4 linked regions of the Nothobranchius furzeri genome follow. The protein of the gene in region 3 interacts with the protein of the main gene of each other region in a biochemical or structural test. Links are inferred from orthologs where the notes say so. Each region holds a gene or a part of one and is shown on either strand. Other genes may lie near its edges. The genes, in order: irf2b, klf13, kat2b and satb1b.

Region 1 (7,785 bases), on a different chromosome or scaffold from region 3:
AGGAGTAGAGCTGTCAACAGATCACCACCTGGTGGTGAGCTGGATCAGAGAAGTAATAAAAGCATGTATCAGCGACTCCAAAATGTGTTTGGGACATGGTGGACGTAGAAATGATGATTAAAACATCACTAATGTGACTGACGTAGCGGCAATGTAAAATCTGTAAAAAAAAAAAAAAAGACAAATGTGTTTCTTACGTACGGAAGTCAAAGTGTGCCACATAATCATAAAAATGTCTTTTCCCTTGGATCGAATGATCATTATATTCAAGGGTAGGAAATCCCTGAAGCTGTACAAGCCAAAAGAAACCTGATTAATATGGCTAACGTGCATTTCTCCTGAGTGAGGCCAAGATAAATATCAAAAAATACAATATAAATGATAAGCAATGAAGTTACAGTTTCTAAAGAGCTTTATATATGTATATATAAATTAAAAAATTCCAAATATTATGGACATTTCAAAATAATATGTAAAAATAAGAAGGAACAACTGTAAAAATGATTCATTCCAATATGGCAGCTTGGTGATGTCATAATATGCAAATTAGATGAGTGCATTTGCTCCCAACACAAACTTTGGGTCCTACTGAAGATTTTTCTCATTTACAGCTCACCTTTGCCTCTGACCATTTTCAAGCTACAACCTTTTGAAGTAGTCGTGTCAGAATTCAATATTTTCTTGAAAAATCGGTAAAGAGTTTTATATGTGAGAAGGAGGATCTTAAAATCTATTGCAGCCAATGTAGGGAAGCTAAGATAGGAGAGATATGATCTCTCTTTTTAATTCTCATCTGAACTCTAGCTGCAGCATTTTGGACAAGCTGAAGACTTTTAACTACATTCTGTGGACTTCCTGAGAGTAATGAATTACAGTAATCCAGTCTTGATGTAATAAATGCATGAACTAGTTTTTCAGCATCACTCCTGGAAAGGATGCTTCTAATCTTAGCAATATTCCGAAGGTGGAAAAAGGAAATCCTACAAACCTGTTTAACATGGGATTTGAAAGGTGAGAGCCGAGTCCTGGTAGAAAACCATTCATCTTGTATTCCAGTAACAACTAATTACTGTTTTCAACAATTCATTTATTTACGACAACTTCATGTAAAATCTAAATTTTTTAAATAGTTTTACAGTTGGTGTTTTTTTTTTCCTGTTTTACCTTTCATCACTGTTAAACATACGGTTATTTTCTACAGTGTAGGTTACTTTTTCTGGAAAAAGTAGAGGATTCAGCTGCTCTGCTTCCCTCTGCTGGAATTCTCTTCCCCCTGACCTTTGCACCTCTCACTCTCTCACTCTTTTAAACTAAAACCACCCCTTCAGACAAGCTTTTAACACCTAGTTTACATGTAATTAATTTTCATTTTTCAACATCTTAGTGTTTCTATGGACCCATTGTTTACATCTGGGTAACTGCACACATCCACACTAGCTGGAGAGCAAGAACCCGTCTCCAGCCGTTGTCCAGAGCTGTATCTGTCACGTTGGATAGAGGCTAGGACCCAAAGGCAGTTTACCCAGGAACGGCACACAGACAAAACAAGGTCCTTTTATTTTGGAGTGATGAAGGAAGTCCAACAGGGAGCCAAATCAGGTTCAAGAACTCATAGGAGAAAAAACTAAAAAAGGTAAAAACTGGAGGCATCAAATAACGCTTATAAGGGTTTTATACACCTGTCTCATGCAGCTGATAGCTAACATCCTGTTAAAGGTTTAATCCATGTTTAACTTTGTATTTTCTAAATAAAATGATCTTTATTACAATTCTTGCATTTAGGAAATAAAACACTGAATTAGTGATAAATAATTGCCTCTGCCATTGTAATACAGGACATTTTTATGACTATGTGTTCAGGTTGAACATGTGACCGCTAGAGGGAGCTGGAGACATATTCAGAGAGGGTTTGCAGGCCTTTATGAGTCAGCAGTCTGTTCCTGGAACTGAACCTGTACTTTAACCTAACCCCTAACACACCAGGTCTACAAGTTTATAACAAGAGTTTCTTTTCTCATGTTTGTGTTTCTGCACATCAGTCTTTATTTTTGTGCTGGTGGCTGGGACCTGCCTCCTGATGCTTTTCATCTGGGAGCACCTAATGTTTAAGTTAGGGGTGACAGTGGGTGAGGTTAGGAGTTCACCCTGTAACTGGTGGGTCAATCCCAGGCTTTGTCCGTGTGAATCGTTCTGTCCTTGGGCAAGGAGCTTCACCATCCTCACCTGTTTGTGGTGGTTGGAGGGGTCGGAGGTGGCTGTGTAGGACAGCTGCACTTCTGTTATTGTGTCCCAGAGTAGCTATGGCTGGGATGTAACTCATCATGTGTGTGTGTGTGTGTGTGTGTGTGTGTGTGTGTGTGTAGGTGTGTGTGTGTGTGTGTGTGTGTGTGTGTGTGTGTGTGTGCCTGTGAAATGGGCTGCTTTTTAAATCGCTTTTATATGGGTGGGAAAGGTATGGAATATAGGTTTTATGGGGTCATTGTTATCTGTAAAGCACTTTGAGTTGCTTCTTTGTATGAAAAGTGCCTTATAAATACATTTTTGATTGATTTTTTTGATTGAGAACATACCAACTCTATTCATGCACGAGCAGAACATGGTAACTCCACATATGCATGATGAGAACATGATAACTCTATATTCTTACTTTTTATATTTACTTATCTCTTATTTCTATATTTTATTTTTGCACCAAGTACTTAATGTTGTGATTTCTTGTACATAAGACAATGAAACCTGATTCTGACTCTGGACCTTCTTGCTGAGGGACAATAGGGCTACTTTGCATCAGCTTTCATCAAGTTTCTGTTCCTGTTTTTCCAAGCTGGCTGCTCTTATACGGTGTGATGGTGTTGAAACAGACGTGAGCAAAAATCACAAGTCGTTGAATTTTACTGAAATAAACTTCTGTTTTCATGCTGGAGATTCAGGAGCTTCTATTGTGTGCTTGCTGTCTTTGGTTGTTTTTACTTCTATTCCAGATATTTATAACAAGCAGTTTTATTTTGTACATTGTTTTTCTAAACTTCCTCTTCGTTTGTCAGATAATTGTGTTTTACAGATGTTCTCGTGTATTTTTCATGTAAAACGTATTTTCTGTTAGACGGTGTTTAGGTCCAGAGGGCTGGGGTTAGTTCCGAGTTACACAAGTTTCTTCAGTTTCATCAGGTCGTGAGGAGGGAAAAGGCTGCTTCAGTTTCCTGTCTTAGCTGCTTTCTGACTTTCTGGTTTCGTTTTAGGCAGCAGCTGAGCAGAAAGGAAAGGCAGGGTGGGTATCAGGGAGAAATGAAAATGAAATCCAGCTCAAAGATCGTCAGTGAGCGGCTTAAACCCTTACTGCTGTTGTTTTTATTTACTCATAAGCGCTTCCTTACGCCAGGGTTTTAGCCATCGACATACATATATGGTATTAGCTCGTCTACAACATTCAACGTAAAACAAACTGCAAGGTAATGCTGTTTGCTTCGCTGTGTTTATTCTGTCCACGAGCACACGTTTTTGTTGAAGCGGAGGAAACAAATCAGAGTGAGGCCTCTTTTCGTTTGGCTTTCTCTAGCGGTCGCGCGCACGTTGGCCAAAGATTGTTCGTAGACGCAGCTCGAGCCCGCGAGCTAGAGGGGGATTTCCAGCACGAGCTCCACTCTCACTTCCCGAAGCAACCGTTGTTTTGCTTTCGGTCTGAGAGCACAAACAGAAATAAACATTTCCGTTCGCCGCCTAAACAAGCCTACAACTACTTGTCCAACTTTGGGGGCGCAGACTGTCCGGACAGCGGCTCCTCGAGGCGTCAGGCCGTCTAACTGAGAAGGTAACATCTTTTATTTCCGCCTATTAACCGCTGTTGGCTCGCGCGCACAGCGAGCTGCCTACAGGAGACATGACAGACAGCTGCGCGTGTCAGCGGGAGTCCTGCCGCTGGACTCGCTGTTGTTTTCACTTTTGACTTCATCTGGTTAGTGGGTCCACGCGCGCACGCACACACACACACACACACACACACACACACACACACACACGCTAGTTAATGTTGTCACACACACACTAGTTAATGTTGTCACACACACACTAGTTAATGCTGTCACACACACACATTAGTTAATGCTGTCTCTCTCTCTCACACACACACACACACACACACTAGTTAATGCTGTCACACACACACACACACACACACACACACACACACACACACACACACACACACACACACACACACACAGTTAATGCTGTCACACACACTAGCTGTCACAAACACTAGTTAATGCTGTCACACACACATACACATCAGTTAATGCTGTCTCACACACACACACACACACACACACACACACACACACACACACACTAGTTAATGCTGTCACACACACACATTAGTTAATGCTGTCACACACACACTAGTTAATGCTCTCTCACACACACTAGTTAATGTGTGTCTGTATCATAAAACAATGGCCTTAAATGGCCGAGGTGCTCTTACACATATTTTCTACATGTTTCTAAATATAGTTTTTAATAATTATTGATATTAATAGGAATTTTCTATTGGTGAGCTTTTCGTGCAGCCCTAGCCGTGACACACAGACTTCATGGTGGATCTAAGGTGACATGACCAGGGCGGGAGAGCTGATCGTGTTCCTGTTGCTGTGGATGTTACCCTAAAAGCCACCTGAAGCAGGCTAAAATGCAAAAACTGCCCCTTGACAAAACATGTACAACACCCCGTGGAAGTGCCATGCCGGCCATGTGCCCTCATCCATGATGGTGGGCAGAAGCTGCTTATTTGAGTGGCACAAATAGTCACGGGGAAAGCCCTTATCCTTTAGTAAAGTAATGCAACAAGTTCAAATGCTGCTAAATAATTAGCAGCATTATAGTTTATTTAGGCTTTTTGTGACCTGTGTAACTAGTTGTAAAAAACCTAATTTCATTAAAGCTTTTGGTTTGCTGTATTTTTATGTTGTTTTGCACAGTTACAGTATACATTAGCATTCTATACATTAGCATTCTACACATTAACATTTTATACATTAGCATTTTATACATTAGCATTCTATACTTTGGCATTCCATACATTAGCATTTTATACTTTAGCATTCTATACATTCACATTTTATACATTAGCATTATGTACATTAGCATTTTATACATTAGCATTCTATATATTAGCATTCTAAATTATAAAAACAATTCTTCATAAATGTTTGCAGGTTTCATAGTAAAAAAACTACTAATTTTTCAACACAGATTTCATGGTTTTGTGTGATTTAAGGTCCAAAATGCTATCACATTACTTCCAAAATAAAAAAAAATTATAAACGCAGATAGTCCATGTTGTCCTGAGAAAAACCATGCCTCATCAGGCAAAATTAATAGTTTTTATTAGAACATACAAAGGGATGAATTAGCTTAAAAACGCTTCAGAAGACCAAAGACAGAGGAGGACTGGATCTACCCAACTTTTATTATTATTTCTTAGCCAACAGGCTGCAATATATACCAAGATGGTTGCAAGATAACCCACTAGATGAGTCTTGGTTAGATATAGAACAGACACTTTGCAATACGATAGAGCTTTCAGACTTACCATTTATTAGCTCAAGCATAAGAAAACATGAAGGCTTCAAAAGTATTAGTATCAGCACTTCTCTGACGGCATGGTGGGAGTATCTTAAAATGACAGAGTCTTCACTAGTACCATGCAGACGCACACCTATCTGGAATAATCCTGATATTTTGCAAAATAATAAAATAGTGAACCTTCCGGACTGGAAAAATAAAGGAATCCTATACCTGGAACACATATATGAAGGATTGGACTTCATCCCATTTAATAGAATAATCTCCCAATTTGGAATAGATAAGAATAGCTTTTTAGAATATCACCAAATTAAATCTGTAGTCAAACAAAAATTTAAGCTCAATAAAATAGAATTACAAACACCACCAAGGGTATTAGACTTCTATAATCTCAAACCCCCCAAACTAAATGGTAAAATGGTAAATGGCCTGTATTTGATATAGCGCCTTCTAGAGTCCTATGACCCCCCAAGGCGCTTTACAACAAAATCAGTCATTCACCCATTCACACACACATTCACACACTGGGGGTGATTAGCTACAATGTAGCCACAGCTGCCCTGGGGCGCACTGACAGAGGCGAGGCTGCCGAGCACTGGCGCCACCAGTCCCTCCGACCACCACCAGCAGGCAACGTGGGTTAAGTGTCTTGCCCAAGGACACAACGACAGCGACAGACTGAGCGGGACTCGAACCAGCAACCTTCCGATTACGGGGCGAGCACTTAACTCCTGTGCCACCGTCGCTCCTGTGCCACCGTCGCCCAAACTACTGTCTAAAGCAGGGGTGTCAAACTTGCGGCCCGCGGGCCGGATCCGGACCGCAAGCGGGTTAAATCCGGCCCGCGAGATGGTTGTGTAAACCTTATTTTCATACTTTACAATGTAGAGTGAAAATAAACGTATCTTTGTGAGCAAGTTTTCTCTGTAATGAGTATAAATAAAACAAAGCTGCGCTCAAGGCTCACACAAGAACTTGAGTCACATCCTGAAGTTGGCTGCCACTCAGGATGTGACTTCTGGTATTGATGTGCTGGTGAAAGCTAAAAGATGTAAAGTAAAATGAGTCGAATATACTTTAAGTGCTGCATGAAACTGATCTATCCATGTGATCTGTAAGCTCTTTGAATCACTAAGGAATGTTTTTTTAAATTTGTTGATTTTTTTCTTCTTCAAATTTTCAAGTACACTTCAGGTGTTGTACTTGTACTACACTGTCCTCAGGCTCCAGCCTTGTTTTATATTGATTGTATTAAAACAAAGAAAACAATCTGAAGTTTTTTATTTTATTTACCGGTCCAGCCCACTTGGGACTAGATTTCCCTCAATGTGGCCCCTGAGCTAAATCGAGTTTGACACCCCTGGTCTAAAGTATATAAGACACTGTCCAAAATAGACGATAGAATAGCAATCCCTATTGAAAAATGGGAGGTGGATCTATCAGTCAGCTTTGACCAGAACTTCTGGTCCCAAACTTGTTTAAAAACTTTTAAAATGATCAGACACTCCAATTTACAATTAATTCAGTACAAAATTCTACACAGAGTACACTATACAGATTATCGGATGTTCAAGATGGGGTTTGTGTCATCTGACACCTGTACACACTGCACAAACAACATTCCTGACAATTACATTCATGCACTGTGGTCCTGTCCACCTGTCCAGGAATTTTGGGGTAGAGTGTGTGAAGACCTGTCAAAGTCTCTGAAATGTCATATCCCAACCACCCCCTCTCTTTGTTTACTGGGAAACCTGGACGATGTCCCGATTGAAACATCTTAGGTTCACGTGGTTCTGACTGCCATATGCATCACTAAGAAAACTATCCTCTTGAATTGGAAAAATAGAGAATCTCTCTGCATTAACCAGTATAGAAATCTTTTTTTGGATCATATTACACTTGATTTAGCCTCTGCCTTCACTTCAAATCAATCTCTCTGGGCTCCTTTGATCGGTTCCATCACATAGCGATGATGGGGGACCATTGATATTGTCCTGCGGGATGGTGTGTGTGTGTGTGTGTGTGGGGGGGGGGGGGGTCTGAGTTTGGAGTATCCGGATGTTCCCTGGAGGTGGGTTCACTGGGGGTGTCTGGGACTGGGGGGCTGTTGCCCCCCTCTGGAGGTACTTGGGTTGCCTTGGGGGGTGGACTACTGGCGGTTGTGAGTGGGGCCCCTTGGAGGACTTGGCGGCGACCATGGGTCAC
Region 2 (7,755 bases), on a different chromosome or scaffold from region 3:
CGCTTTACAGTATTTTCTTTCTGAGTGCATCAGCTGGCTTTACAATAAAACACATTGTTTTCTTTCAGTGTGTTTCAATTCAAAAGGTAGAAATGGACATAAAGTCACGTTTCCTTTCTGAACTCAGTTCCATCTGAAACACGAACACCCTATCTTAAATGATTGCCTAGCAATTACAAACCCATAATGTCGCTTTGTAATTGCTTTCCATAATGGTGTCACTTGTCTCTTGCTGGAGGATAAACCAAGACAGTGTCTGTGGTAGCTGGCTGGATGTCATTTGGCTGAGACCGGAGAGTTGCTCAGAGGAGTGGTTAGAGGCTGGTTTGCTGAATGGCGGTCTCCATCTTTAAAAAATAAGAGCACAAGCTGTTCATTTAGACAAATAATGCTCATTAAAAAATCATAAAGCACTGACAGACATAGAAGTTATTTTTGAACAAATTCAACTTTAAGTTAAATGTGCTCTCATTGGAGCATTTAGCAGACTAGCACTGGTTTCTTTTATTTCACTTTCTTTTCTAAAATGATGCTAAAAAATATTTAAGACTGTTGCAAATCTATGTTCTCTATGCAGACTAAACCTTGGCATCATCAGAGCTTTAAGTAGGAGACCCGTTTTGTTGGCCAGAGGCCTCAGACTGTGCAGATTGTTCCAGAATTGTAACACAGTGTATTTAACAAACCGAGGACGTCTCATCCTTGCAGACAAGACAGGTCGTTTCCCCCTGGAACTGTAATGTTCCTCAGATGTACTTTTGCTTATCTATAATTTTATGAAGAGGAGGAAGAGTCTACCGTAACATTTTGTTGTGCTTCATGACAAACAGGTTTGGTGTGTAATTGGGAAACTGTCATTTGATGTGTTACGTTATTCTCAATCAGACGCCCAATCAGCTGGGAGTTTAACCGTTTTTCTTTTCTAACCCTTTGGTGCATGACGACGCCTGCTTCGGGACACATTCCTATTTTATCACCTGAAAAGTTAATAAAACAGATATAACAGAAATATTTTCCACATCCACCGCCCAAGGCGCTTTACTCATTCATCTTTGGAACAGCTCGACCCTGAACGACTCTCGCAGTCACCAGGCGAGTGACGGGGGACACCCTGGACAGATGTCCAGTCCATCACTGGGACACACAGAAAGCTAAGGGCAATAGAGTCTCTGTTTAAACTAGCATGCATGTTTTTGGTCTGTGGGAGAAAACCGGATTAAAACAAAACACGCACGGCAAGGACACGCTAAAGGCCATGTTCAAAAATGAGACCTTTCTTGCTGCGAGACGACAGCGCTACCAACGACCCCAACACAAACATGTTATCATTTCAGGCTGTTGACTCTCGATGATCCCTGCAGATCTTACTTTGCTGCTGTTTGATCTTGATTCCTTCTAGCTGTGATCAGTTGTTTGATGCCTTAAAAACAACGTTCCTACCGCTCCAGAACAGTGGTTAACAGGATCACTTTTCTTTAGAAAGAAAGCCAGAGACACTTGGTCTAAAGTGGTAAACTTAATGGCTCAATCATCAGAGGTGCTTAAGTTCCTACCACGGTTGTGGTTCTGCTCTCTTCTCCACGCACCTTTTGTCCTCCTGTCTTAGCCTCAAAGCAGCTCCACTCCAGACACCATTTGGTGTTCAGCCGCCACGTCCACCGTGAGCTTCAGACAAATGAAACTTTATTGAATGCTCTCCTGTAACTTTACGACTTCCCGTCACTGTGACGTGGTCCTGGTGTCAACGCCACACAGAACACAGCTGGTTCCTAAAGCTGACCCGACGAGGTCACAGAAGAAAGTTTTGAATCTTGAGACGACCCCCAGAAATAAAACAAAAAGCTGAAAAGTCCTTTTTAGAGAGATTGGAACTTTGTGTGAAAGCAGAGCAAGCAAACAAATATTTTAAATGTGTTCTTTTTTCCGTTAATCCATTAATCTCTGGAAATATCCATCAAAATATTGTTGAAAATGAACGAAGTGGTCCAATCATTGAAAAATATTGGTGGCTTTGTAACAAATAATCATAAAAACTGCATGGGAGATGGGACTAGAAACACCTTCATGTCCGAAGCAAAAAAAACAAAACATTGTTTAATATTTAAAAAGGGGACATAATGAACATTGTAAAGGATTTACTGTAATGTTTGTATTACTAGTGACAGTAATAGCGGTATGATGTAAAACTACCCTAGACGTTTGTACTGCCCCCAGTCGCCAGGAAACTACACACTGTCACTTCAGTATGTGATCTTCTGACTCCTATGTACTGCAGGTAAGACACTGCCTCTGTTTAAGATGGGGAAGGGGGGTGGGGTGGGGGGCGGGGGGTTACATATCTCCAGCTGTCAATGGGCAATCAGGCGGGGTACACCCTGGACAGAGAGCCAGTCCATCGCAGGGCAAAACACACACACACACACACACACACACACCCCTAAGGAAAACTTAGACAGACCAATAAACCTAACAGTCGTGTTTTTGGACTGTGGGAGGAAGTCGGAGAACCCAGAGAGAACCCACGCATGCACAGAACACGCAAGCTCCATGCAGAAAGATCCCAGGCCGGAAGCGGCATGGCAACAGCTCCAACCACTGCGCCGCCTGTTTAAAATCCCAATCCCAACATTAGCTTCTTTATTTTTATGGGATAATTTGGGTCGTGTAGGAAAAAGCCCTGCTGCAGCATGTGTGTAACTCCTCTGTTTACATCCATGAAGCTCCCCCCTCGCACCAAGTTAGCTTTCCTAAACGTTTCTCCAGGATTCAGGACCCCAGCCTGGGTGAAAAACTTCTTCCGAGCGCATGGAGACAAGGCGGCTGAAACTTTCGCGTTGCTCGGTGCACTCAGGGACAAGATGTACCCAATGAATGAGCGGCTGCGCTGCCGGTCGACACGCCCCCAGCATGGATACACTGAGTAGGAACCAGGGCTCCAGAGACGCACTCGCAGACGGTTTGAAGGCGCGATGGGAGTTTACGCATCTAAGTTTCAGGAGTTCCTGTCGGCGTCGCTGCACTGAACAAAGACCTCTCTCTCTCTCTCTCTCTCTCTCTCTCTCTCTCTCTCTCTCTCTCTCTCTCTCTCTCTCTCTCTCTCTCTCTCTCTCTCTCTCTCTCTCTCTCTCTCTCTCTCTCTCTCTCTCTCTCTCTCTCTCTCTCTCTCTCTCTCTCTCTCTCTCTCTCTCTCTCTTACCCCTCCACCCTTTCTCACTCTCCAGCTGAGAGATCATCTCTGCGTTTTTCGTCCGAGGCGTTTCTCGCACAGGATGTTGATGATATACTGGAAAGCCGGGTAAGATCATAAAGTCAGTTCTCTGATGAGAACGACCTCTTCCTCCCCGTCTCTCCAAGGGAACAACAAGTACTTTTCCTCCTGCTTCACCTCCAGCACACCTTTGTTTTTCCTGGAATGCCATTGAGGAGCAGAGGGGGCTGTGTGAAAGATAAAATGGATCACTTTGCAGCAGAGTGCCTTGTTTCTATGTCCAGTCGCGCAGTGGTTCACGCACCGAAAGGTAACAGGGAGATCAAGCCGGAAACCCAATCCTCCTCCTCCAGGAACGGAGAGGACATAAAGGAGGTGATGGATAACTCCTCGCTTTTTGTGGTGGCACGGATCCTGGCGGATTTCAACCAGCAGACTCCCGACGTTGCTGCCGAGCAGGCAGCGAGAATAAAGGATGAGAGAGAGGATGGAAACTCTGCCACACCTACCGCCGGCCCCGATCCTGCGCTCAGACAAAGAGGCAAAAGATCGAGAGGTCGAACTGAGCAGGAATCACCTCAGAAAAAGCACAAATGCCACTATTCTGGTTGTGAAAAAGTTTACGGCAAATCCTCCCACCTCAAAGCCCACCTTAGGACACACACAGGTCAGTTTCTTTGGATGTGACTTGTTTGTTTTTTCTCACGTCTGAGGGAATAAATTAAACCACAGCCTTAAAACCAACAAAAGGAAAGTTGATAACAAAAAGTTAAAAAATTGGTCAATTACTGTATGGTAGGTCAAGGAGCCACCCTAAACGAGCGCGTGATCAGTTATAGTTTTATTTCTAACTTTGTTGTAAAACTTTAGATTGTCCTTTGTTAATTTCGTGGCACGAAAAAGTGGCTCGAATAAATAGTGCCACTCCCACTCATGTCTCAGAGCTTTGCCCCCCCCCCCCCCCGCACACACACACACGCGCGCGCACGCACATCACATCACCGCATTGGACAGCGTGTTCAAAGCCAAAATGTCAATTTGCGCACAAAATTTACGCACAAAAACGTAGTTTTATATCAACAGTCGGTGCACTTTTATTTTGTTTTGTGGCAGCACGTCTGTCTGAACAAAGTGCACCCTACATAACAGAGGAGTGTAAGTGCGTATGGGCATGCAGGAAGTTTGTCCGAAGAGTCAGTGCGCTCAGCTGCATGCTGACCTCTCAGAACCTCCCCAGATCTGCGCTCTGCATTCCGCAGGATAGGATACTGGGGAGGGAGGGAAGGGTGGGGGAGAGATATAGATCGGCTCAAATTGGGGGGTTGATAATAGCTGTGCAGTCGCCTGTCTGCCCAAAGCCCTTTGTTATGATGTGCCACACCCCCGCTAGACAGACTGCCAGCTGATCTGGCCAGCAACAGACTCAGCTAGCTGAGCCTCGACTGAGGAGTCACTGCCTCCCTCTCTCTGATCTGAACATGCACTGCAGCTCTCTCTCTCTCTCTCTCACGCACTCCACACCCACCCTCCCCTCCCACCCTCCCCTCCCTGCACACAGCCACACACGCATCATCCAGCAGCAGCATGAAACACCTTGCATGAGCGTGACCCATATTTGAGTCACGCGCAGCAGAAACGCTGTATGTGCAAGGCGTTTTTACCCATAATCCATTTCTTGTTTTGTTTTCCATCTCTCACCTGCCAATCCAGATAGGAATATTAGGCGTGTCCCTGTAATCTCATTCTACACTCATTAATATTCATAAACAATGCGAATACACCTGGTAAGGCATCATGGAGGGATCAAACTGGAGGATGTTCTCTGAGAGACGCTGATTTCAGTCACATTTTTACTGCATGTGCATCAAAGTGAAGAAAAGACAAGGAAAGGGAAACAATTGGATTTATAACATAATTTGCTAGTTTATTATTTGTTGTCATGCAGCTTTTATAATTAGCCCCAGGCACCATGTTTAAGCCTTTCTTTTCTATGGGATATCCCTACGCCTCAGCCGATTGGTTCCATGACGTGACTGGTGGTTACGCTGCTTGCTGAGAGCCTTTGGCGTGCTCATGCTGTGTGAGTGTACTGGGATTTTATGAGACCACGCCCGCCCTGCCCTTGTCACAGTGCCTATCAAGCGTTTCCTTTCCCCTGCCCCTTGGTTTGGATGTGCTCCGTTTGTCGTCTGGCTCCCCAAATGGGCTGTGTCCTATAAATTGTGTTAATAATGACTGGGCAGGCCCAGAATGTGGGTCAGCTGAGTTCAGCATGGGCTGCCTCAGCCAATCTTGCTGTGCTTTCAGAGTCAAACTCTGGCAGCGTGCTTCCTTTTCAGCCCCTACTAGCAGAATCAAGAGAGAATGGATCCCAGCCTGGTCAGGTCTAGCCAAACTCAGCTCTCTAATTGAAGGGGAAACACTATAGAACACAAACACAGAGTCTGGGACAAAATGTCCCTTCATGACTTCTGTAACATTCGGATTTTCTGCTGCTTTTGTCTGGCAGTTACTCCTAAATGTGAACTTGGTAACTGGGATTTCCTCAGAAAACCTCTCTGTCACTTAATGTTTATTTCCAAAGTTTAATACAAAGTCATTTTTATAAAGTAAAACAAAAGGACGTCCATGCTTCTACTTAAAAAAACATGTCTGATCTTGCCCCCACCCACCTATCAGAGTTCAACAGGGACACGGGACTACACACTGCATTTAAATCACTCATTATACTGCACTGAGGTTGGATGCTGGTGGATCCACAGCAGTTTAGGGGTCTAAGGTTACCAGGCAGCCTTTGTCTGCTGCTCTAGGGTAGGAGGTGGAGCTCAGATGCTATAACTATGTAAAAAAATGAGGGGACTAATGGCAGATTTCATGAATCACAAACAAATACTTGCTGTCAGTTCACAAAAGTCTTGCTTTTCTCTCAGGGAACAGACAGGGCTCTTCTTCCTTATGGGTTGTTTGCACAGAACCCTCCCCCCCAAAAAAGAAAATTCTTAGAAAAGCTCATCTTGCCAGCATACAATACCCAAAATCTACTAGTCACATACATAGAGGGGGTGTGGTCAATAACAAAGAGCCTAATGACATATTTTACAGTTGGCTTGATGTTTTGTTTGAATCTCTTTTGTGGTGCCTCTGATTTAGATAGCTTTACTGTCTTAAAAAAAGAAGGGGCACCACCTGGCAGCACAGTCCCAGCACCGTGAAAGCTCAGTTGTTCGCTCGTTCTACCTATTTTCAGTCAAATAACTGTGGTTAGGGGCCTTTTCAAAATGTAGAGTTACCCCAATTCCACATGGAAAACACAGCAGGAGTCTCATTATATATGCTCCATCCCTGCCAGTGGTTTATATTTGGCTGCAGTGAAACACAAGCATGCACAGTGGTCCTGTGTGGCCGATGGGAATGATGAGGTAGCAGGGTGGAGATGGGGTTTTTCCTGCTTAAATCTAACCCTGGCAAAGGTATGGGTCACGAGGTACACTGGTGCAAAAGAGTTCAAACGCCCCACAACAGGATTTTCACCACTGCTCTCAGTACAATCACAAATCTCCTGGTGTGACCATTAATCTGTGAGCTTCACTAGTTGAATAAAATCAGCAAATTTGGTATAATCTGACCACGACCCACTGACAGAGCTTAGTTGGGGGCGGAGTCAATGGTTGTCTTTCATATTGTGTCTGCAGACAGTTGGACAGCGTTCGGACCAATCAGAGCAATGCACAATGTGATGTATATGTAGCAACATAAATCAGTCAGCGGGGCAGCCTGCCATGCACAGACCTAGGCACATCTATCTGATCACGTCTCAAAGAAAAGTAGAAGAACGAATCGTCCAAAGTTGATGCCAAAGTCAATTCAAACGAGTGCTGTTTTTAAGCTGCCATCTTTGTTGTTTTGCTCCATTGCAGCTTTGCCGTGTTGAAGATATGCCCACCTAATGTCTCTACAAATATAGAGTGCTGTGATTTGCCCAGCCGAAGCTTAGCTAGGCCAATGGTAGCCCTGTTGAGACTAAAGGAGCGCGGCTAGACCACCTGCAGAGCACAACCTTTTTGCTACTTCTACGGTTTGTCTAGATTTTTATGAACTTCATTCTTTGCGAGTTGTAATGCACATGTATGATGCTGGGCTTTCTCCACTTGTGAAACAACAACGAAAATCATCTGGTTGGTTCAGAAAACCCGAGTTCACTGGGTGTGCCCAATACAACAAAGGTATTAGTTCAATCCACGTGATCCACATGGTGAAAATAAAGCCAGAGTCAAGCCACCATCTTGCCCATTAATCCTCTGTTGCAGTGTTACAGTCCTGTAGAAGACATCTTTAAGACGTGTGCGGGTGCACATGCCGGCCATATGTTGTCCTGCCTGCATTGACGCCAGGACAGTTTCTCGTTAATATCAGAGCACAAGCCTGACGCGACTATAATTTAGCAGTCAGGCATGCACAGCAGACAATCATAACAGTGAATGGCCTCGGTCAGACAGCGCCCAGCCTGGACTGTTTTTCAGTGACCCACAGGGCTCATGTATTCTTTA
Region 3 (7,666 bases):
TTCTTCCAGTTAGCTTACAGAAACACAACCGGGGAGTGAAACAGACGTACTGTTTGATGGTGCTTCACGCGTTGCTTTGTGGTGATGTCCTCAGAAGACTGCTAACACTGCCTCATGTGTCCAAACGGTACCAGCTCAACCGAGCCGTTACACGCAGAAGAATCCGGACTCCTACCGCATTACTGATGTACTTTAGATGAATTACAATTAGTTTGTTTTCAGCCAGACTAAAACGACATAAGTCGGTATAAGGCGATAGTTCTACTGATGTACTTTGTAAATGTGTCTCCTCACAATATGGGCCCTTTCAGGACTTTGCTAAGACGTTAGCATATCGCGACCATTTTGGCAATGAGCGTCACAACCACACAACATTAAAGACGTTTTATTCGGTCATTGTACGACATTTTTAATGCCGTTTAGGGGATGCGTTAAGAGCGGGAATGTGTCGAGTAAAAAGCGGCGTTCAGTGTCCAAAATGAAAGTTTTTTTTTTTTTTTTACTACCCACCATTAGAGACCACAGAGTAGCGTAAACTACAGCATTGTTCGAGGATTCTTGGTGTTTTTTTTGGTGTTTAAAGTTCAGCATCAGCGCTGCTTAGTTTCTTTTCCTTCCATTCGGTATAGTTGTTTGGCGACGCCTACTAATATAATTTCCCACTGAGTTACCACCAATCAGCATGAGTTAACCACAAGCCACGCCCAGCGACTCTACTGGGCCTTTACGAGTACATACCTCAGTTCGGGTACTCGTTTGGTGCCTGATATGGCCCGGAAAGGGGTCTTTTGAGTTTGCTTCGGTGAAATAGAGGCATGCACATTCCGTAAAGATCCGGTAAAGTTTCCTACAAGTTCCGATAGTGGAAACGGGCCTTTTCAAATTCAATCACTAAAAATTAAATCTAGCTGTTTATACTAATATTGCATGTGTTTCTCCTTCTAGCAAAGAGATTGCCAAAAAGTGAGCCCCAAGCTCCAGGAGCCACCGCCGCGCGAAGCCGAGGAGTGGACCTGACGGAACCCGCCCAGCCGGCCAAAGCCCCGTGCTGCTCCAACTAACACGAAGAACACACCTTTCTCTGACCTGTAGACCAGTAACTAATGTGGTCCATGCCCCAGGTGCCACTGCAGCTACTAATGCAACGTGTCACTCATCGTTAAAAGCGGGAAGACGCCCGCCGTTCCCATTCTCTCCGTTTTCTTGCAGTGGCGGACCAGCGCCACTGGCGTTCCTTCGTAGTTCTGCCTCTTGTCTTCTGTTGCGGTTCTGCTGCCACCAGGTGAAGCCTCCCAACCACTCTGTCTTACTCCCTGACACATTCATATCCGTGGTGGCAGAAACGACAGATCCACCTTCGCTCCAGCGTGTAAATCCGAGTTTCACTTCCTCCCCCTGGAGACTTTACTACTGCTTCTTTTGGATTAATATTGTTTGCTAGGATTCTGTTCTGGACACATTTCCTTGTATATTTAAGTGGGCTAAAATAAAAATAAAAAACTTTAAGGTTGGTTTGCAGTAGCACAAAACGTCCGTTAGGGGAAATGAAGTCTTTTGGAATTTCTGCAATCCCTCTTAATGTCCTCACTTCCTGTTAAAGGTTAGCGCAGTTTGCTCCTCCCGTCTGTAGGTTTCGTTCTGGGGCTGTGCCTGCTCGTAATTGTCAAGTGTAATTGTGCAATGTTCTGCAGTATTACTCGCTAGTTTGAGTATCTGCAGAGAACAACGTCCCGTCTCACATCAGTGGTGACCGTCCACGAGTCCTTCCGTAAACCGTCCCATTCTGATCCAACCTGGATTCTTTTTTTCTGGCGTTGGATGACTTCTGCAGCCGTCCTCTCCATCGGGTCGGTGTTGCCGGGCGGCTGCGGGTAGTTTTGCACAGAATGTGGGGTGAGAGTGACTCGTCCTTTTATTTAGAAAGTGCTTTAGACACAACTGTTCTAACTGTGTGTGTGTGTGTGCGTGCGTGCGTGCGTGCGTGTGTGTGTGTGTGTGTGTGTGTGTGTGTGTGTGTGTGTGTGTGTGTGTGTGTGTGTGTACACATTTGCACAATGAAACACATGACTTCTTCCTTTCAAACTTTTGATTTTTTTCCTGTCCAAACTTCTGCATCACTGTAGGTCAGCTGAAGAATATACTGTTACACGTTAGCCACACTTAATGTGTTTGTCATGTTCTCTCTAACACACACACACACACACACACACACACACACACACACACACACACACACACACACACACACACACACACACACACACACACACACACACACACACACACACACACACACACACACACACACACACACAGAGAGAGAGAGAGCCTTTAGTCCAAACCTTTTTCTATCGTTCTCATGCCTTGCACTAATAATGCTCATGAATTTATGTTATAATCTCAGTCAGTGTGTTATAAATATATACATAATATAAATATATAAATAATATACTGTAAATACGGTGTTGCAGTGTAGTCTACCTTTTTATTTTTGTTTTCCCAGTGACGGGACTAATGCTTGCTAGGGATAATCAATAGAAGGTTAAAAACCATGTACAGTTAGCAGGAAAACAGCAACAATCTGGGTTTGGAGTTTTCCCCCCAACACACAAATGGTTAAGTCATAATCCGTGGTGGTCTTTATAAATATGTGTAGTAATATTAACAAAAAAAACATTGCATTTATTTAGATGTCTGCCTCATATTATTTTCTCAAAAAGAAATCTGTTACACCCAAACTTCCTGGTTTCATCCTCCTTTTTATTTTTAATGCCTTGTGTCTAAAATGTCCTCCTCCCGGGTTTTAGGAGATATAAACTGATTTAAAAATCTACATATTGGTCTGTTTAAAAATCTGTTAACAGCGTTACAGGAACAACAGAACATCTGTGACTTGGATCACTTTTGGTTTTAAGACTTCTTTGCAGGAAGACATTTAAACTGAAGCATTTTACAGAACTATTATGTAATGACCAAATAAATACTGAAATAAATTTGAGCATTCATCATTGTAATCTGGCAGTCTGTGTGTTTTTGGTATTTTTTCTCTTCTTTAAGGATATTTTGTGATGTAGGAGGATTATGCTGCTGATTTGTTATTTTATGGTGCAATACGTTTACTGTTCCCATGTAAAATTGTTGATAGTTGGTAGTTTTATAGTATAACTTTAAAAAGGTTCCAGTCAACATGATTTTCTCTAGATTTGACCTTGAATTTTGGCTCCAATTGGCTGGATTTTGTGACCTCTCCACTCAGTTGTGGTCCCGTGGGCGCCCCTAGCGGAGGAAAATGGCACCGCTGTGAGAAATTGAAAATAAGGATGAGCGCCATGTCTGATCCTCCGCTTGTGGAATAGCGCGGACGGCGGAGCCATCGTTTCCCGGGCCTGCGCTCGCTGCGGGTTTCGGGGTGAATCATGGCCGACACCGCGGGGATTCAGCAAGGTTCGCCGGCCATTGGAGCCGCGGGCCTGGTTCCGGCGGCTCCTGGAGCCGGGGGCACGGAGGGCTCCGGCGCCGCTGGAGGATCCGCACGTATCGCAGCGAAGAAGGCGCAACTCCACTCGTCACCTCGGCCGAAGAAACTGGAAAAACTCGGAGTGTATTCGTCTTGCAAAGTAGGCGTGATTTGCACGCGGGGAACTGTGAAAATACGCGTTTTGTGTGTTTAATCCAAATTAACGGTTGGTTTTGGTTGCAAGTTTTCATAATGCAGCGCAGCAAAGGAAGCCATTGCCGCACTTCAGTTTTTTTTCCCCCTTTTTAAAAAAAATAATTGCATGAACGGCACAGTTTTCTGAAAAAAATAAACGAAGATGTTTAGGATAACGTGTATTTCTAGCAGCCGAACTCTTCGGCCGGGGCCTTTTTGCTGGACGCTCTCTGGTATTTTTAGTGGTGCTGTTTCTGTCAAGGTGGGTGGTTGGTGAACGTAAACATTGGCTCGGAGCGGCTCGGGAGTCGCTGGCTGTGGGAACAGGAGCCGAGCTCGTGCGCGTGTGTCTCCTACCCTCACCAGAAGGTCCCACAGCCTCCAGACCTTCTGCTGGAGCTCGGCGGTGAGCCTACGGAGGCATTTATGGGGCTTGTGCGGCGTACGATCCGCAGAGGGTCGGTGTCTTTGTTTTGACAGGATGACAGCTGCTGGAGGGGGCGGAGTTTGTTATTGTTTCAGTGCGCATGCGCAGCAGTGACAGGCCCCCCCTACTTTGTTTGTTTTTCTAGGACACAAGGCTCCTTTTGGGTTTGAGCTAGTCCGACTAATTAAGCCAAAAATTGAGGGTGTTTTTTATTGTCTTCAGTTTTAACTTATTTCTACTGATTCAGATGCCCAAATACCTAATTCATCACATTCTAATTGTTTAAAATTCTGATTAACTTTAAAATGATTCGGAAATCAAAACATTTTCACATGTAACATATTATTCAAAGATGATGCGTTCAAAGACCAGGAAAAACGTTGGATTTCAGCTGACCGTGGTGATTATAGCTGTTTTGTTTGTTTATTTTCCACTCTGTTCCGACAGGCCGAAGGACCGTGCAAGTGTAATGGCTGGAAGAGTCAGAACCCCCCTCCTACACCTCCTCAAACGGACCAGCAGACCAACACGGTCAATCTGCAGGAGCCCTGCCGGAGCTGCTCGCACACTTTGGGTTTGTGTGCTTGTCGAACCCAACAATCCCTCTTGGTAAAAGTTATCACTCAGATTTATAATATCTTTATTTTCCCCCAGGTGATCATGTGACTCATCTTGAACATGTTTCTGAGGAGGAAATGAACAGACTTCTAGGAATTGTCCTGGATGTGGAGTATTTGTACACATGTGTCCACAAAGAAGAGGACGCGGACACTAAACAAGTCTACTTTTCCCTCTTTAAAGTAATTTCCAGCTTTATTGTTAATATTTTATCACGTATAACCTCTGCATTGTGATCAAGTAAGCTACTAATTTCCATTTGACCTTTTAGCTGTTGAGGAAGTCCATCCTACAGATGGGGAAGCCCATGTTGGAGGCACAGGAGACTCCTCCGTTTGAAAAGCCCAGCATCGAGCAGGTGAAGTAAGAGTTTGGAAGGAAAAACACATTTTCATTGACGCCGACTGATTTTTCTCTTTATTTCTGCTTGTGTACCTAAAAGGGAGTGAACAATTTTGTCCAGTACAAATTCAGCCATCTGCCATCAAAAGAACGTCAAACCATCATGGAGCTGGCTAAGATGTTTCTGAACCAGATCAACTACTGGCAGCTGGAGACGCCCTCTCAGAGACGCCAGCGGGTGCCCAATGACGATGCAGCAGGATATAAAGCTAACTACACACGGTGGGACTGAGCAGAGTTCCCTTTGACCTGCTTTCCTGGATTCTCTCGTAGTTTTATGTAAACCATTTCTGTGTGTAGATGGTTGTGTTACTGCAACGCGCCTCAGTTCTGCGACAGCCTGCCCCGCTACGAAACCACCCAGATCTTTGGCAGGACGCTATTACGCTCCGTGTTCACCGTGATGAGGAAGCAGCTGCTGGAGCAGGCCAGACAGGAGAAGGACAAGCTCCCCCCAGAGAAACGCACTCTCATTCTCACACACTTTCCCAAGTACGACACACACACACACGTGTTCACACAGAGAAATGACACAAACTCAACATTTTAAAAGCACAGCACTTAAAAAAAATGTGGTTTTCTTTGCTCAGGTTCTTGTCGATGCTGGAGGAGGAGGTCTACAGCCACAGCTCCCCGATCTGGAGCCAAGACTTCCTTGTAGGAGCTGCAGGAGGACAGATTCCCATCCACACAGGTAAAACACACCCTCACACACACACACCTGTACGCAAGTTGGAATTTTTCTTCGCTTTGTAAAAAAAACTTTTGTTTAAAATTCCCCGTGTAGTGATCAGTGCTCCCCCAGTAGTCCGGCCAATACACTACAGCACCAGTCCTGTGTCGGTGGACCCGTCCACCTGTGGTAGCGTCAGTCCTGCCAGGAAACCCGCCTCGGCTCTGGAGTCAAACCCAGGTATTAAAACTGTGATTGCACCGTGATCCGATAAAACTTCATGTCTATTTTATCGTGAGCGATTATAAAAGAGGCGAATGATGATTTTGAAGATTAAATTGTGTTTAAAGTTGGAGAAAAGCGTAAAGCATCAGAACCACTTCACCACGAAGAAAACAAGAGACCCAGGATTCTCGGGGACATCCCGATGGACCTCATTAACGAAGTCATGGCGACCATCACCGACCCCGTCGCTATTCCAGAGGTAACCTGTTGATGTGAAGCCAGAAACTCTCGTTGTAGAAAGTAGCTCACGCCTCCTCCACCTCCTTTACTGCCCAGACCAGCCTTCTGTCTGCTCATTCTGCACGGGACGAAGCTGCACGCCTTGAGGAGAGGAGAGGGGTGATCGAATTCCACGTCATTGGGAACTCTCTCAGTCAGAAACCCAACAAGAGGATCTTGATGTGGCTAGTCGGCCTTCAGAACGTCTTCTCCCACCAGCTTCCCCGCATGCCCAAGGAGTACATCACACGGCTGGTGTTCGACCCGTGAGTTTCCCCAACTTCATTCGTGTCCAGAGATGTAGAAAAGGCATGGTGAGTAGACCCGTCTTGTTTTCCTGCAGGAAGCACAAGACGCTGTCGTTGATCAAAGACGGTCGAGTCATCGGAGGAATCTGCTTCCGGATGTTTCCGTCGCAGGGCTTCACGGAGATCGTCTTTTGTGCCGTCACCTCCAACGAGCAGGTCAAGGTGAGCAGCTTTGTTTCTGTTCCTGGTTTGCACCTGCTCGGTTCGGCGAACGTCCGTGGTTAGGGGGTGGAGTCACCGGTTGCTCCAGAGTGTTTCCCATCTCTTTCTGCTGCCTATTCAAGGTCTTTCTGGAGTCTGACAAAAAGCCACAGATGGAGTACAACCTTCCTGTGCTCTTGGGTTGAAACGAGATGATTTGGGACAATAGAAAGTCAGATTAAATGCTGACCAATGATCTTCTGGGTATGCTCCTTTCATCAACATACTCAGTTGGTGCACCCACCATTGACAGTGGAAGAAAATACATGGGTTTGGAGTGTGCAGGGCCAGCAGGAGTCTTCAGGGACAAGCTTGTTGACCAGCATCATATCTGAATTCTCATTCAGGAGAACGTTTGCCAGAATCAAGCGTCGATCCAAGAGGTCAGAAAAAAATCTGCGAGCGGGTTTTAGGAGCACAGACGGAAGGAGCTGAACATTTATGGGTTAAAGAGGAGAAGAGTCCATTTGAGAGCAAGTCAAACACATATAAACACAAGAAGGGATGTTTTGAGAGCGACCATGGGTGTTTCAGTGTCAAGGCACCTGGCCTTGCGAGGCCAGGCGCCTTGCTTACGAGGACACGGTCCTTCCTTGGTCAAAGAAAACGGTTAAAATGGAACAGACTTGCATCACGTGACCGCGGCTTCCACAGCGGTCACGTAACATCCCGTGACACAGGAGATAACGTTATATTTTATACGTATTAGTTTCAATATAAATATATAACGAGCCTTTTACTTTTTAAATTGTGTATATTTGTTTAATTAAATATATAAGCGAGTTACTACCCGTTAGCCACCGAATCTGCAACTACTAAGCAACTAACAACCATAGATAACTTCTTTGGATCTAAAAAAAAAAAAACATTTTGTTGTCTTA
Region 4 (6,803 bases), on a different chromosome or scaffold from region 3:
TCATTTCAAACACAGAGTCACTTTCCTTCCTCCCCAGGGTGCTGCTCAGGCTGCACTCAGTATGCCAGCGTGTGCTTCTTGTCACATTAAACGGTTCCTTCCTGCTGTGCTGCTTGACCTTGACTAATTCACGTCTTCATCTTCAGCTGCGACACACAAACTGCAGCTTCAGCTTTCGTCAGACGAAGATGTTTTATTCTTTTTTTGTTTTTTAGAAGAAACATTATTGATGCTTTCTTGAAGCAGGTGTTTGGTCTCCTCTAAATCAGATTTATTATTTTTTTATTTCAGGGCTGGCTCTGCGAGTTGCTGCGTTGGAAGGAGGATCCGTCTCCTGAGAACCGAACGCTCTGGGAGAACCTCTCCATGATCCGACGCTTCCTGAGCCTGTCGCAGGCCGAACGCGACGTCATCTACGAGCAGGAAAGCAGCTCCGGCCAGCAGCACCACAACGAGCGCCCGTCGCACCTTATACACCTGTCCACCGAGCAGCTTCAGGTGAGCGAGGAACGTCGTCAGCTGATCCACAGCTAAACCGAACATCTCACTAATTAAATTCACACAAACAAGTTTTAAGGAGTTTTTCCACATTTTATCGACATTTGTTTGGTAAATGACTCATCTGACGGGAGAGAAAATAATCAGCTCTTTAGTAGAATTTTTTCCACGACACACACGAGATCCAGCACCAGACTCTCTTGATAACTGAATAATCTACTTACCAAATCCTAAATGTCTCAGACTAAAACAAATAAGTGAAAAACACGTTTTTTGTCCCTTTATGTGCATTTGACTAATAACCCAGGAAAATAAATAAACACCACTTAAGAGTTTTAATGAACGCCTGTAAATTAGAGCCACAGCAGCACTTCAAACTTCCTACTTTTCAGCAAAAGCTGTTTTCAAAGATATCATTAGGCTGAACTTATTTAACAGAGCTGCTTTCTACCAGACATCTGGCGTATGAATTGCAAATAACACAAAGGCTCAGTTAACGGTGGAAACATCTTAATGAAGTACAATAATACTCCTATTAAAAGTCCGTGCCACAGCTGACTGGCTGAGTTGTTATTTGGTTTCTCAGAGACACAGCCGGTGTTTCACAGAGACTCGTTCACCGGGTAGAAGCACGGTTTCACTTACAAACCCGCTCCTGCTGCAGAGCTGGAAACGTGCAGACCTTCGCTTGCAAACAGAACTGGTTGTAGATAGAAGGGTTAGGGTTTGGGCTATTTCTGACTAAATAGAGCAGTTCTGCTCTGTCCACAAAGAGCAGTGCTCTTTCATAATGCCACACGTCAGCCAAATCAGCCCACTCTGGCTCAACAAGAGCAGTGGTATGTTGGTCCAGTAAAACTGCATCTTTGGGTGCATTTATGCAGCTGGCAGGCAGAGTCCCTGCAAAGTGCTGTTTTGCAAACTTGATTATGAAACACCTATCCACAGCGTCTGACTCAGACATGGAAATGAAAGAGCAGCCATTTTTGCAGGGTCAACAGGGACCACGAGTTGCCCACTCGCTCCCTCTCCAGCCACACAATGAGACGTTTTACGAGTAATGCGTCATGTGTTTACACTAACGGGACTCTGACGGCAAAGTGGAAGCCATCGATAGCATTCTCACGCCGCAGCTAATCAGCCAGACCATCGCTAAGTGGATTTGTGCACGGGGAGCTTGTTTATCGCTGCCTGGCAGCCGAGCCTGATAAGCTGCAGAGGACATAATGGAGAAGCCAGTTTTCCTGAGAATTCCCACTTTTTGTTGTTGTGCTGGTGTCGTTGCAGTTCGCTTTCAGCCCCAACAATAAAAACACAATCTCACTTCACGTCTGAACCGGAGAGAAAGGAAAAAAGTTTCTGTGAAACTGATAACATTCAGTCATGTAGAAGGGAAACGTGTTTCATCGTAGATCTTCTGATTTTAACGGGATGTTTCAATTGTTTTGCCTCTGGGTTAATGTTATAAATATTTGCTGTTAAATAACGCTCCTGAACAGCCTCTGTTCAAAGAAATAGTGTTTGAATTCCTCAGGACTGGTGAGCTAGTGGCTGCCGCCTTAAAACTGTTTTGACTTGCACCTTGAATTACACAAATGTTCTTGCAGAAATAAAAAATAAATACAATAATCCCTAATGACCTTTGACCTCTGGGCACATCAAATGTCCTTCCTCCTGCTCCTGCTTATCTTTGCAGATGAAATCACCACATTTGTTTGAAGTATCTGTTTTAAGGTGTCAGACTAGCCATTAGCTCATCAGTCCTGGGGCTGTAAACCCTATTTCTATGAACTGAGGCTGTTCACGAATAATTCTTTTCAACTTTTATAACAAACCTGTTTATGGTTCAGATTGGTAACACCCTTACCTTCTTTTTGTTCTTGTTTTTTTTTTTTCTCAAATTCAGTCTCAGTCGACTCAGCTGCAGCAGCACCAGCCCTCCCTGTCCCTCCATCCTTCCCAGCCCCTTTTGTCCCAGCAGCCCCTGCAGCAGCAGCAGCCCCTCACCGGCCCCAGGCTGCCTCCCCGCCAACCCTCCACCGCCTCCCCGGCCGAGACGGAAGACGAGGGCAGCCGCGGAGGGAGCATCAAGTCCCGCAGCAGCGGAGGGAAGATCTCCCTGGAGGCGCTGGGCATCCTGCAGAGCTTCATCCAGGATGTGGGCCTCTACCCAGACGAGGAGGCCATCCACACCTTGTCCGCCCAACTGGACTTACCCAAGCTCACCATCATCAAGTTCTTCCAGAACCAGCGCTTTTACATCAGCCACCCAACCAAGGCGCCCAAGGAGCCCAACAACAACAACAGCAGCGGCAGCAACAACAGCACAGCGGTGAACACCAGCAGCAGCAGCAGCAGCAGGAGCAGCCCGGCCTTCGAGGAGGAGCTGACAGACTTCAGGGAGAGCGGAGAGCTGCTGAAGGAGTTGGACGAGAGCACGCAGACCAACAGCACCATCTTCTCCATCAAGATCGAGGAGCAGCTGGGCCGAGGCGCCGAGACCCACCACGAGTCGGAGCATGAGGTCAAAGAGTAGAAATCCGGCTCCCTCCGATCCTGGACTCAGAGTTCTGACCCGCACACTCAGACTGATGACCGTGCTGAATCCGAACGCTCTGAACGACACGACCCGGCGAGCTGGAAAAGCAGACAAGCAGCGTTGTCTGTGCACGCAGCGTCGGGACTGAACGGGAAGTGTTTATGTATAAATTAAAGTTACAGGCTCTGTGAAGTGACACACACACACACACACACACACACACACACTGAAAACCCATCTCATGTACTACTTTTTGGATTTTGTAAAACTTGTAATATTCACTGTAAAAACCGATGCATCGTTTTAATAATCTGCACAAAAACATTATTGTAAAGTACGTCACCGTGGATATTTGCTGGCTGCACTCGATGTCTGTTGTTTTACACTGACTATCTTTTTGAGCTACAGATTATATTAAAAAGAAAAAAAAATCAAAAAGACCCCCTGGAGTTTACTAAGAATTTGATAGGTGTATGTAATGTTTTAACTGGAATTTTCATTTTTGTTAATATCAAATGAAATCGAGGACCAAGTGGTTGTAAAGGCCTTAATTGTGAGGTGTGACGTCTGCAGCCTGCTGGAGGAGGAGTCATTCTTTTAAAAAGAGCATCGTGTGATTAGAAATCACTCCAAACTCGGGAACGCAATCACCCGAGAACAGCCGAACCGTTGCTTATCATTTGTTAGGGAAGATATATAATATAAATATATATAGACATTATATTGTAACTGTAAAAAAGTACAGTCTTAAAGAAACTATGCCAACAAATGCCTTGTACAATACGGCACTGCCGATGTTAGATTATTTTGCAAAACCTTTGTCACTGTAACTCTGACTCGCCACACAGTTAAAACAATGTGAATTAAACTATGTTTATGTTGTCTGACATTATTTATTTGCTGTGTTTCTGATGTAATTACAGTTTATTTTAAAAGTTTATCACAGTTTTTCCTCTTTTTTTTCTAAATTCTGCCATTTTTTTCTATTTATAAATGTGATTTAACACTGGCAGTGGAAGCAAAAAGTGTCTTAAACGTCTTCAGTGGAGAAATGTGCTTTAAAGGTCGCCTATAAAGTGCTGTATGTCGAGCAAATCGTGCTACAAGCTTCACAATTATTGTCGTATGCAACTTTTACTATCATGCAAATAAGCTTAGGTGAGATGACTAACCTATGGAACACCTTAGAGAGAAGAGAACATATGCAATCTGTGTGAAAATCCATGTCTGCCATGTGTCTTCCTTTGGTTCGAGATCCAACTCTAAAAGCTCCTCCTGTAAAAAAAAAAAAAATAAGAGAAAAAATAACAATCCTGTACAAAAAGTTTTTTTAAGCGTTGATTCAGACGAGAACACCCGTTATTTTGTTACGACTGACTGTTTTCTATGTGTTCCTCGGTTCCTCTCTGCAGAGATGTTCTAACTAGAAGTGATTGTTAATGACACGATTAAACCGTTTGTATGGTGACACTGATTCCTCGAGCGGACTCTTTTGCCCTCAGAGGGGTTTTTACCAAGCGGAGCTGAGATGATGTGAGCTGTTTCTGCGGCTGAGAGACGCCGGCTGACCCGGACATGTTTGTAACAATAACTGTAAATATCACATCCTATCAACCGCCGATTGTTTATGATTGTAAATAGGTTTGAAGTTTGTGTGAGAGCTCACGGCGGGGAGCTGAATCCTGCGCTCTGTTGTGCCTCCTCTTCTCAGAGCGACTGTACCTGGGCTCTTCTTACTGCTGAGTGTATCTGAAACACCTGTGAAATCTCAAATCAATAAAAGCTGAGGTGTGAACACCTGGAATGGAGAAATGGAGAAGCCCTCTTGCAGCACAGGTGTCCTGACCTGACGGTGAACTCCAGGTGAGGAAATTACCTCACCTGTGAACATCCAGACAAGCGGTCTGGGTTCTTTTCATGTTTTGCTCATTGAAACACAAATAGATGGGAAAAAAAAAAGATTCAGAATTGTCAAACACTCAGGATGTTCTTCCCTCTTTTGCCAGAGGTGATGATCTGGGGACACGAAGCACATTAAGGGGTGAAAACAAGATGTCGTGAAGTAAAGAAGCACCATTACGCTTCATTATTTCCTGATTTTTCTTCTTTTTGCATTAAAATGGCTGACTGACAGAGGTGCCAACGAACATCAGCAGCTTCAGGATTGTATCATTATCACCATTTTCACGAGGATCAGCCTCATTTGTCTCAGCAAAAACCTTCTGGAGCACCAATACTTCCATAGGACAGATGTACCTGGTGCAGGAAGAGAAAAATACACCAGAACAGGTGATTTTGTGTCCTAAACTGGCTTTAAGTTTCTCTGCATCTCTTCACATCAGATATCTCCTCACACGTTTAGTGGTGAGTCAACTCAGGAATCAGTTGCTTATTTTTATATGGTCTTTACATTATTAGGCCACGCCAGACAGATACTTAAACAGATCTGGGAGCAAATAAGCCATCCTCCACATGGACGTTGCAGCTGACGCACGTGTGGTGAAGCTGGGCTGGAGCTCTGCACACACTTCCATCGTCCAAATGCATGTTTGAGCTCCAAAAAAAGCGAGGAGGAGAAACCGATGTCATTCTAAATCTTAATGCATAAAGGGAAACAATTAGTTTAATTGTTTATTTTATCTTCATAAAGCTAATTTTCAAAATAAAAGTTAAAAATTTTGGGAAAAAAAAAATAAAACCTGTGATGGACATGTAGTGTTGCAACCTCTTTTTTCTTTTTTTTTAACGTTTGCCTTTTGTCTTTAAACTTTTTATGCTTTGTCAAAAAAAAAGGTCCTAAAAGTTGCTGAATAAGTACAAACATCAACATAATAAATTCCTTACGATGTGTATAAATAAATCTACCAGTAAACATGGAGTCCACACACTGGAAATACATCTCTGAAGCACTTTTATGAAAGCACCACCTCCGTAAACAACACTCTGAATGAAGCTCTGGTTCCAGGTTTAGATCAAAGATCTAAAACGTTTAAGTCACTCTGGTGAAAGAAAAGTTTAAAAATAAGGTTGGTAGTTAAAAACTGTGAAACAGAACAGTCGGTGAACGAGAGTTGTTCCAATAATTTGGTTTTGTGCCACACTGAGGATGCACATCTGCAGCATGGACACATTTAAAGATCATTCATGCTCTGTTGAACACATTCTCTGCGAGAGTCCTCCAGAAGACGTCAATCAAAAGTCAACAAGGAGTTTGGGCTTCATATGAGCAGAATGCAACCGTGCATCTGTTTTAGTTCAGAACAAAGACCTTATTTAAAGATGGAGGCTGGGAGAGTCACAGTTTAGAGAAAGATGATTCATGTTTTCTCCAAGATGAACAGCCTGATGAGCATCACTTGGAAACAGAACAAATAAATATTAAAGGTGTAACAAGCTGCTTTCATGACAAATCCTGTTCTTTTTGTGCATGTCGTGGTTCAAACTAAGTCACAAACTCGCAGGATTTTTCCATCCTGCACATCCTTCGATCACCAGTAGAGCTCCAGGAGTCTTTGTAGCTTGTTGGAAAAGACTCGAGTAACGAGCTCTGCATTGTTGCAACATGAATGAAAAAAAGATGATTTCAGGTGCTCAAAATTGACTTTCTGCTTTCTAACATGATGCAAACAAAAGTTTAAACTTAAATTAGCAGGTTTAGAACAAACAGCAAGGACTCAGCTAATGAAACTTTAGGAAAACTTTCTGTTTTTTGTGCATTTTCTGTGACAATTATTCCATTTATGACCAGACTGAGACCAGATTAAAT

Evidence for each region.
Region 1: the proteins of kat2b (region 3) and irf2b form a complex in vitro, tested with the Homo sapiens proteins (2 studies listed by BioGRID, with this or other methods). The link is inferred for Nothobranchius furzeri from reciprocal best matches to the Homo sapiens genes KAT2B and IRF2.
Region 2: of the proteins of kat2b (region 3) and klf13, one has a biochemical effect on the other in vitro, tested with the Homo sapiens proteins (2 studies listed by BioGRID, with this or other methods). The link is inferred for Nothobranchius furzeri from reciprocal best matches to the Homo sapiens genes KAT2B and KLF13.
Region 4: of the proteins of kat2b (region 3) and satb1b, one has a biochemical effect on the other in vitro, tested with the Homo sapiens proteins (2 studies listed by BioGRID, with this or other methods). The link is inferred for Nothobranchius furzeri from reciprocal best matches to the Homo sapiens genes KAT2B and SATB1.

The regions. Positions count from the first base shown.
Region 1 is NC_091741.1:104,003,942-104,011,726, reverse strand, and holds the start of irf2b (interferon regulatory factor 2), read left to right. Parts: upstream 1-3,569; 5' UTR 3,570-3,808; intron 3,809-7,785. UniProt on the Homo sapiens protein: Specifically binds to the upstream regulatory region of type I IFN and IFN-inducible MHC class I genes (the interferon consensus sequence (ICS)) and represses those genes. Also acts as an activator for several genes including H4 and IL7.
Region 2 is NC_091744.1:67,451,003-67,458,757, forward strand, and holds the start of klf13 (Krueppel-like factor 13), read left to right. Parts: upstream 1-3,206; 5' UTR 3,207-3,412; coding exon 3,413-3,875; intron 3,876-7,755. UniProt on the Homo sapiens protein: Transcription factor that activates expression from GC-rich minimal promoter regions, including genes in the cells of the erythroid lineage. Represses transcription by binding to the BTE site, a GC-rich DNA element, in competition with the activator SP1.
Region 3 is NC_091759.1:19,554,394-19,562,059, forward strand, and holds the start of kat2b (histone acetyltransferase KAT2B), read left to right. Parts: upstream 1-3,284; 5' UTR 3,285-3,416; coding exon 3,417-3,617; intron 3,618-4,526; coding exon 4,527-4,653; intron 4,654-4,733; coding exon 4,734-4,879; intron 4,880-4,968; coding exon 4,969-5,055; intron 5,056-5,139; coding exon 5,140-5,321; intron 5,322-5,399; coding exon 5,400-5,591; intron 5,592-5,689; coding exon 5,690-5,793; intron 5,794-5,886; coding exon 5,887-6,012; intron 6,013-6,122; coding exon 6,123-6,256; intron 6,257-6,333; coding exon 6,334-6,542; intron 6,543-6,619; coding exon 6,620-6,746; intron 6,747-7,666. Other genes in the region: rab5aa (RAB5A, member RAS oncogene family, a), read left to right, coding at 946-1,061. UniProt on the Homo sapiens protein: Functions as a histone acetyltransferase (HAT) to promote transcriptional activation. Has significant histone acetyltransferase activity with core histones (H3 and H4), and also with nucleosome core particles.
Region 4 is NC_091745.1:63,025,658-63,032,460, reverse strand, and holds the end of satb1b (SATB homeobox 1b), read left to right. Parts: intron 1-291; coding exon 292-498; intron 499-2,404; coding exon 2,405-3,034; 3' UTR 3,035-4,843; downstream 4,844-6,803. UniProt on the Homo sapiens protein: Crucial silencing factor contributing to the initiation of X inactivation mediated by Xist RNA that occurs during embryogenesis and in lymphoma.